2 linked regions of the Callithrix jacchus genome follow. The protein of the gene in region 1 purifies or fractionates together with the protein of each later gene. This does not show direct contact. Links are inferred from orthologs where the notes say so. Each region holds a gene or a part of one and is shown on either strand. Other genes may lie near its edges.

Region 1 (3,905 bases):
TCTTATCACCCCGTCAGCTGTAAGGCAGACATCAGTGAGAGTGGTAATTTGTGGACAATCCCTGACTCACCCGGGGCCTTCTGCTGAGCAGGCAAGGCCTGGCGCCTCAGGACTCAGGGCTCGGCTGGGATCTGGCCCAGGGCTCCTCCTAAGGTGGTCCAGCACACACAGTGCCCCCAGCAACTGCCCGCCAAACTGGAGATTCCAGAAATGTTCTTGACACCGTCTCCTTTCCAAAGACTGGGGGTGGCAGATGGGGAAACTGAGGCTCCGTGAGTTGGAGGGTCTTTTAAGGTCCCTCAGCCCCTGAAGGGTAGGGTCAAAACTAAACAAAAACTAGGTCTCAGCCTGGGTCTCCAAACACCCCACATTCTGTGCCTTGATAATCCTGTTTCTCTCTCCATCCCTTCCCATTCACTGAGCCTGAAGACTCCATCTTCAGAGGAGGGCTCTCTGCTCCAAAGGGCATCTAATCTGGAGTCGTGCGGTGGTGGCAGTGGGGGGCGGGGCAGTGCTGGGCTTGAGGCTGTTCTCCCTCATATGCTGTCTCTCACCTCGTCTCTGTGTGTTCACAGCCCCCAGAGCACAGCTGTGTCTGCCTCCAGACCGTGAGCTCCTTGAGGGCAGGACCTGGTCCCACCGGAGCAGCCAGGTTCTGAGGAACGTCCTAGGCCTGGGTGAGCCCCTCCGGAATGGCTTAGGGGTGAGGGGTGGAGTCTAGTGTCTCTGGGCCCAGCCTGGAGGAGTGCTGGGCTGGAGGGTGACACACCTGGGGCTCCTGGGCCCCTCCTGGCCACACTGTCAGTGGGCCTCAAGCTCCCTTAGCGCATGGCCTCTGGAATAAAATGAGCCCGCGCCTCGGAAGGGGGCAGGAAGAGGCAGGAGTAGGGTGGCAGGTGGCAGGCGGGGCTGCACAGGGGAGAGCCACAGCTCCACTTCCTGTGGGCGACGGCCCGTGCCTGCCCCCGGGGGAGGTTGCACAAACCTTACTGCGTAGGTCGGGCTGCCTGCCCGCCTGGCCTGTGCTCCAGCCTGCCTCTTCCACTGGCCACTGCCTCCCCCCCGGGGCTGGCATCCCTGCTCCCTGCCCTGGGTCCCAGACTGTGTCCTCCATCTCCGCAGGGTCGGCGAGGGGCTGGGCTGGACACCAGGATCCGCCCTCCCATCACTGAGCTCCGCTCCTTCCTCATTTTGCTGCCGATTCTAGCCCCAAACAAAACAGGTTGAGCCTTTTTCCTCCCCTCGGCAGCTCCTCCTGGCTCGTGGCTGCCTTCTGAGTGCTGCAGACGGCGCCGGCCGGGAAGGGGGGCCTGGGCCAGCCCTGCCAGGACTGGGACGGTGCTCCTGGCGTACGGCCCTCCATCAGGCCAGCCTGTGGCAGGAGAGCGAGCTTTGCCGTGGCAGACGCCTGAGAATGATGCCCCAGCTGCAGTTCAAAGATGCCTTTTGGGTAAGTGAGGATGGCTGGGGGCACTGGACAAGTGGAGCGGGCAGAGCGAGGCTGAAATCTCCGTGGGGCCACGGAATGCGGCTCCAAGAGGGCAGCTTTCTCATCAAATAGTGGTTGATTCTTGGTCTTAATCGTTGCGGAGGCGGCCCGGGGCCCCCACCCTCTCTGGGTTGGAAGGCAAACGGACTCCGTGAGTGAGGGGCCTCCTCTCTGCTGCCCCAGCTGTTTTCTCCTCTGAAAGACCTCTCCCCACAGCAGGAGCCCCTTAGGAGAGGCTAACACTTGGGTGCGGGTTTGAAGAGCATGTGTGGGGTAGCAAAGGAGGGGATGCAGATTTAGGGACCAGAGAAACTTGGGTTCAGGTCTTGGCTCTGTTACTTAAGGGCTGGGTGAGACATTTCTTTTTCTGAGCCTCAGTCTCTCCATCTATATAATGGGGATAGATATCAACACATCAACTAAAGCATTGGATCAAGCAAGGGGACCAATTGGACACGCTAAAGCCCCCCAGCACCTTGCCTCACTCCAAATGGTAATTCTTGTCCCCTCATCCAGCCCCTTGTCCCTTGCAGACCTTAGGGGTCCTTCCAGGAGGCACCCAGGCGGGAATTGCTTGCTTACTTTCTTAAATTCAACACGGGCTTACATCTAGTCATTTCCCCATGAAATAAGGGCGCCCAGCCTGTGGTAGAGGTGAAGTGGCTTGGCCCAGGCGGCGTAGCCTGAAGCCCAGCTTGGAGTCCCAGATCATCTCAGCAATTTTCCAGCTGTCCTTCAACCACCCCTCTGCCCCTCAGCTCTGTCTGTGCCCAGGGCTCTGGGGAAAAGCTGAGACCTCTTGGAGCTGGGGAATATGGGTGTCCTGGGGTGCTGCTGCCAACCCTGACGAGGACCCTCTGGCCCTCGGCTTAGCCTGCTGAGCCCCGGCCAACAACCTGGCCCTCCCCGGGCCCTTTCCTGGGGCTGCGGCCAGGAGGATGAGAGCTGCAGAGCCAGGCCTTCCTTCCCTTCCGGCCAGTTCCACTTGGGGCCTGTGGCCAGCGTGTGAGCGTTCTGCTTCCTCTCCACTGACTGCACAGTAGGCAAAGGACTCCCCGTGGGGAGGGCGCCTTGTGCCTTTCTGGGCTTTGGCTTCCCCATCTCTAAAGAGAGGGTGGGCCAGCCCAGAGAAGCCAATGGAAGCAGAGCTGCCTCAGCCCATCCGGAGGACCAGGCACCAGGATGCCCACGGCCCAAGCTGGCAGCCGCAGCCCTGGCGGGAGGGAGGTGAGGTCACCACATCGCTGCCCTGCCTTGGTGTGCAAAGTTGGGGGAAGGGGTAGGTGGAAACCCAGGCCACTCTGTAGCCCTAGGCAGTCCAGGACCCCCTGACTATTTTAACACTGAGTCCTCTGTCCAGGCCCAGAGCCCCTGGGCCTGCCTTCCCTAGGGCAGAGCTGGACAAGGAGCAGGCTCAATGGCAGGGTCTGGCACAGATAGGGGTGGCATATAATGGAGCAGGGTGTGGCGACAGCACAGAAGCAAGTAACCAGCCCCTGTGGAGCTTCCTGGGCGGCATCCTGCCTACACTCTGCGCTCATCACACCTCTGGGCTTCCTGGCTTCCAACTGCTTGCCCTCCTCTGTGGCTGGCTCCCTGGGTCTGGGGCAGGCCGACAGTTTCCCTAGGGAAGGCCACAGCAGGAAGGGGTGAGAAGTAGCCAGTGGGAACCTCTCACACTGAGTCTGGGCGGACACCCTGAAAGGTCATTGTAGGCACCACCTGGCCCAGGGCTCTGGATGCAAACACCTCCTGGTGCTCAGCCCATCCCAGTGCACACAACAACTAACATTTGCTGAGCATGAAGGATGTGCCAGGCGCTGTTCTCAAGATGTCTGCATAGTCACCCATTCAATCCTCAAAACAGATGCTACTGTTATCTCTTCCATTCAGATGAGGAAACTGAGGCACAGAGACAATCAGAGACTGGCACAAGGTCACACAGCTGGAATTAAACCCCTGGCAGGTGGGCTCCAGAGCCTGTGTGGTTGCAGGATCCCTCTCTCTACCTATCACTGAATCTTTTGGCTTCAGGGTAAAGAAGAAATCCTCTTAGCTCCCAGAGGGGTAAGAAGATCAGACAAGGCGGCAAGAACAGTGTTTTGAAGCTCTATTCGCAGACCAATCTGTAAAACAGAAAAGGCACACTACTCTGACTGCAGGGCTTATGTTAGGTACAGCCCAGGAACCTCGGCCCTTGTCCATGCCTGTCCCCACCCCAGCCCAAGGCACTGTCATTAAACGCTGCAGCCTGGCAGCACACTGTTTAGAAATGACTGGTTTTAGGCTGGGCGTGGCGGCTCACGCCTGTAATCCCAGCACTCTGGGAGGCTGAGGCGGGCGGATCACTTCAGGTCAGGAGTTTGAGACCAGCCTGGCCAACATAGTGAAACCTCTACTAAAAATGCAAACATTA
Region 2 (3,905 bases), on another chromosome or scaffold:
TATGATATAAATTTCCTTTCTTTTTTTTTTTTTTTTTGAGACTGAGTTTCGCTCTTGTTACCCAGTCTGGCGTGCAATGGTGCGATCTCGGCTCACCGCAACCTCCGCCTCCTGGGTTCAGGCAATTCTCCTGCCTCAGCCTCCTGAGTAGCTGGGATTACAGGCACCCGCCACCATGCCCAGCTAATTTTTTTGTATTTTTAGTAGAGACGGGGTTTCACCATGTTGACCGGGATGGTCTCGATCTCTTGACCTCGTGATCCACCTGCCTTGGCCTCCCAAAGTGCTGGTATTACAGGCTTGAGCCACCGTGCCTGGCCCTAAAGTTCCTTTCTTTAAAAAAGGGATGACAAGCAGAAAGTAATTTGGGAGCTGTGGAGAGGCAAGGTAAGGGATGGGGGAGTGAACCAGAGGCATATGCGTAATTGGCAGTGTCTGGGTACTCAGGATAGGGGTGGATCACAAGGGCTCGCTCTGTAATTAAAAGGAAAGGGTTTTTTTGTTTGTTTTTGAGACAGAGTCTTGCTCTGTCATCATCCAGAATGGCATGCAGTGGTTCGATCTCAGCTCACTGCAACCTCTGCCTCCCAGGTTCAAGTGATTCTCCTGCCTCAGCCTCCTGAGTAGCTAGGACTATAAGTGTGTGCCATCATGCCTGGATAATTTTGGTAATTTTTTTTCTTTTTCTTTCATTTTTTAGAGATGGGGTGTCACCATGTTGGCCAGGCTGGTCTTGAACTCCTGACCTCAGGTGATCCACCCATCTCAGCCTCCCAAAGTGCTGGGATTACAGGCGTGAGCCACTGTGCCTGGCCTAATTTTTGTATTTTTTAGTAGAGATGGGGTTTCACCATATTGCCCAGGATGGTCTTTAACTCCTGACTTCAAGTGATCTGCTCGCCTCGGCCTCCCAAAGTGTTGGGATTACAGGCGTGAGCCACCGCGCCTGGCCAAAAGGAAAAATGTTACTGTAGTAACCCTTCAGCACTAGGGACCTAGAGCCTTAGTCTCAGGCTACCTGGGTGCCTTACAAAGGAGGCCACCCAGGCCCATGGCTACTCTTTGCCACAGGGAGCCCTGCACACAGATGTGCTGCTGATGGCTAAGCTCTCACTGCCTGCCAGAGGGAGGAGGGTCTGAGCCAGTCAGAGGAGATAGGCCCCAGAGAGTAAGAAAGACGGAGGAGGAGGACCCAAGCTGATCCAAAAGATGGGTCTAAGCAGTTAAGTGGAAGAGGGTTCCAATCTGATGGCAGAGGGCCCAAGCTTGGCCTAATGAGGAGGAGGCCAGGCCCACCAAGGGGCCCCTGGAGTACTTGTTTCACTTGTCCCTTGTGGGTTTTTGCACTTCCTGTTCCCTTGCTGCTCACTGCGGAAGTTCCTCTTCTTACCCTGCACCCAGAGCCTCACTGGAGAAGACAAGGACAGAAAGCACCATGAGTGGGGGCCCAATGGGAGGAAGGCCCGGGGGCCGAGGAGCACCAGTGGTTCAGCAGAACATACCGTCCACCCTCCTCCAGGACCACGAGAACCAGCGACTCTTTGAGATGCTTGGACGAAAATGCTTGGTGAGCTGGGGATCTCCTGCCCCCGCCCCGTCCTCACTGTTTCCTCCTCTTCCTCTCCGCCTTCTCTTTCTTCCCCTCCTCCCGCTCCTCCTTTCCCTCTCCATCATCTTCTCTCCTAGAATCTCCTGTCATCGTCCACCCTTCCCAGGAAGAACCCAATGTCTACTTGCTTTCCCTCTGGCTGCATGCAGTTCTTCCTTCAGGCCCACGACTGTCATGAGGCAGGAAGGACCAGGTCTGGCTCCAAGACCCTGTGGCTACACCTGACCAGACTCCACTGACCCCTGCTTTCCCCTCCCAGACGCTGGCCACCGCAGTTGTTCAGCTGTACCTGGCGCTGCCCCCTGGAGCTGAGCACTGGACCAAGGAGCATTGTGGGGCTGTGTGCTTCGTGAAGGATAACCCCAAGAAGTCCTACTTCATCCGCCTTTATGGCCTTCAGGTGACTCCCACCCCCCTACTGGACTTGCAAGCCAGTTCTCAACTCACAAACCCAGATCTGTCAAATCTGTGTCCATCTGTGTCCATCGCCCCAAGACCTCAGACCTGATTAATGAATCCCTGAGCCCCAGAACCAAAGACTCAGCCAGATGGCAAACTGTAGCTTGCCTTTCTAAGTCTACAATGACTGGCCTCAGCCTCCATATCAAAATCTCTAAAGCCCCCCAATTATTAGTATACTGCCTAAGCCTAATCTTTTCTACAAATTCCAAGAAATGAGCACTGTATTTATACCTGAATCTATTCTAAACTCAACATTTTGCATCCCAGGAATCCTTCATCAAAACTCTTGAACCCCAGATGTTTGCCAAGCTCCTAAGTCATAAATCAGTTCCCCAAACCCCAAACTTGAATATTCCATTGATCCTTGAACTCCACATCTGTCCTTTTAAATCCACAGCACAGACCCCAGAGTTCCCATATTAAAATTCCTGAACACTCAAATACCAAGGTAGTTTTTTTTTTTTAACCTATGTGTCCAAGGCATGAACCAGGCATAGGCACAGATCAAGAGCCAAGCTGGGATGAACAAGGGGTTGCTTTGTCCCTGGCTGATATGAGATGGGCACTACCAACCAGATGCCACTCTACCCAGGTCAGGGACACAAGGTAGTTCTTAAGAAAAAAGTCTTTTTCACAATCCCCCAACCTGAACTTTCTAGGTTTAAGCCCCAAATTCATCCTTCTAAACCCATAAAGATGGACTCAGCATAACTTCAAGATCCCAAGCCTGTCAAAGCTTGACCAAACTCCTAAGCCATGACTCTTCTCCACAAACCCCAAATTGCACTTACTTTAGCTGGACTCCCCACAAAACTCCCAAATCTATGTGTTTGAACTTCAAATCTCAACTCTAACTCCCAAATACCAGAATCCTACCTGTCATTAATTGGGGCTGGGGTGGCAGGGAAGGGCACAGATTGAGTCTCTGAATGAGTCTCAACTTCCTAAGACTAGAGTCCTAAATTATGAAATTCAAGCTCCCGAGTCCCACATCTAGGGCCCTGAACCCCAAATCCAAACCTCTCACAAAAGTGTCTGACTCCTAGATTGTACCCCAACTCCCCACATCCACACTGTTAGATTCCCCAGCTCTCTGGTACTGAGCTAAAAATCTCCAAACCAGACTATGAGACCCCCAAATCCAGACACCCTGCTCCCTGCCCAGCTAACAAAGGCCTGCCACCCCCGGCTTGCCTCAGTGCCACTGTGTCTCCCACCCTACACCTCTCCAGGCTGGTCGGCTTCTCTGGGAACAGGAGCTGTACTCACAGCTTGTCTACTCCACCCCCACCCCCTTCTTCCACACCTTCACTGGAGATGTAAGTGACCAACCAGCCCTTGAGCCTCACTTGGGTTTTGGAGAGGAGATGGGAAAGCTGCGGGGGACCTGGGAGGTGGCTGACCCCAAGGTATGTGCAGGACTGCCAAGCGGGGCTGAACTTTGCAGACGAGGGCGAGGCCCAGGCCTTCCAGGCCCTGGTGCAGGAGAAGATACAAAAAAGGAATCAGAGGCAAAGTGGAGGTGAGGAGGCTGCAGGGGAGGAAAGGAAATTGGGCAGAAGTGAGTGTAAGTATGGGAAACTAGAAAAGTCTCCTCTCATGGTTTTCACTCCCAATCCATCTGTCTATCCACAGACAGACACCAACTACCCCCACCACCAACACCAGCCAATGAAGGTGAGTCCTCTAGTACAAGTAGGGGTAATAAGGGGCTATCCCAAGAACCTGTGGCAGAGTTGTGATAGCTCTTGACACATCCCATCTTCCCAGAGAGAAGAGGAGGGCTCCCACCCCTGCCCCCACACCCAGGTGGAGACCAAGGAGGTGCGTGCTG

The links.
Region 2: the proteins of PSTPIP1 (region 1) and WAS purify together in Homo sapiens (affinity purification with western blotting; 3 studies listed by BioGRID and IntAct, with this or other methods). This does not show direct contact. The link is inferred for Callithrix jacchus from reciprocal best matches to the Homo sapiens genes PSTPIP1 and WAS.

The regions. Positions count from the first base shown.
Region 1 is NC_133509.1:24,007,528-24,011,432, reverse strand, and holds the start of PSTPIP1 (proline-serine-threonine phosphatase-interacting protein 1), read left to right. Parts: upstream 1-981; 5' UTR 982-1,414; coding exon 1,415-1,450; intron 1,451-3,905. UniProt on the Homo sapiens protein: Involved in regulation of the actin cytoskeleton. May regulate WAS actin-bundling activity. Bridges the interaction between ABL1 and PTPN18 leading to ABL1 dephosphorylation.
Region 2 is NC_133524.1:49,251,112-49,255,016, forward strand, and holds the start of WAS (actin nucleation-promoting factor WAS), read left to right. Parts: upstream 1-1,388; 5' UTR 1,389-1,435; coding exon 1,436-1,567; intron 1,568-1,868; coding exon 1,869-2,009; intron 2,010-2,538; exon of another isoform or gene 2,539-2,673; intron 2,674-3,303; coding exon 3,304-3,390; intron 3,391-3,490; coding exon 3,491-3,593; intron 3,594-3,706; coding exon 3,707-3,748; intron 3,749-3,841; coding exon 3,842-3,895; intron 3,896-3,905. UniProt on the Homo sapiens protein: Effector protein for Rho-type GTPases that regulates actin filament reorganization via its interaction with the Arp2/3 complex. Important for efficient actin polymerization. Possible regulator of lymphocyte and platelet function.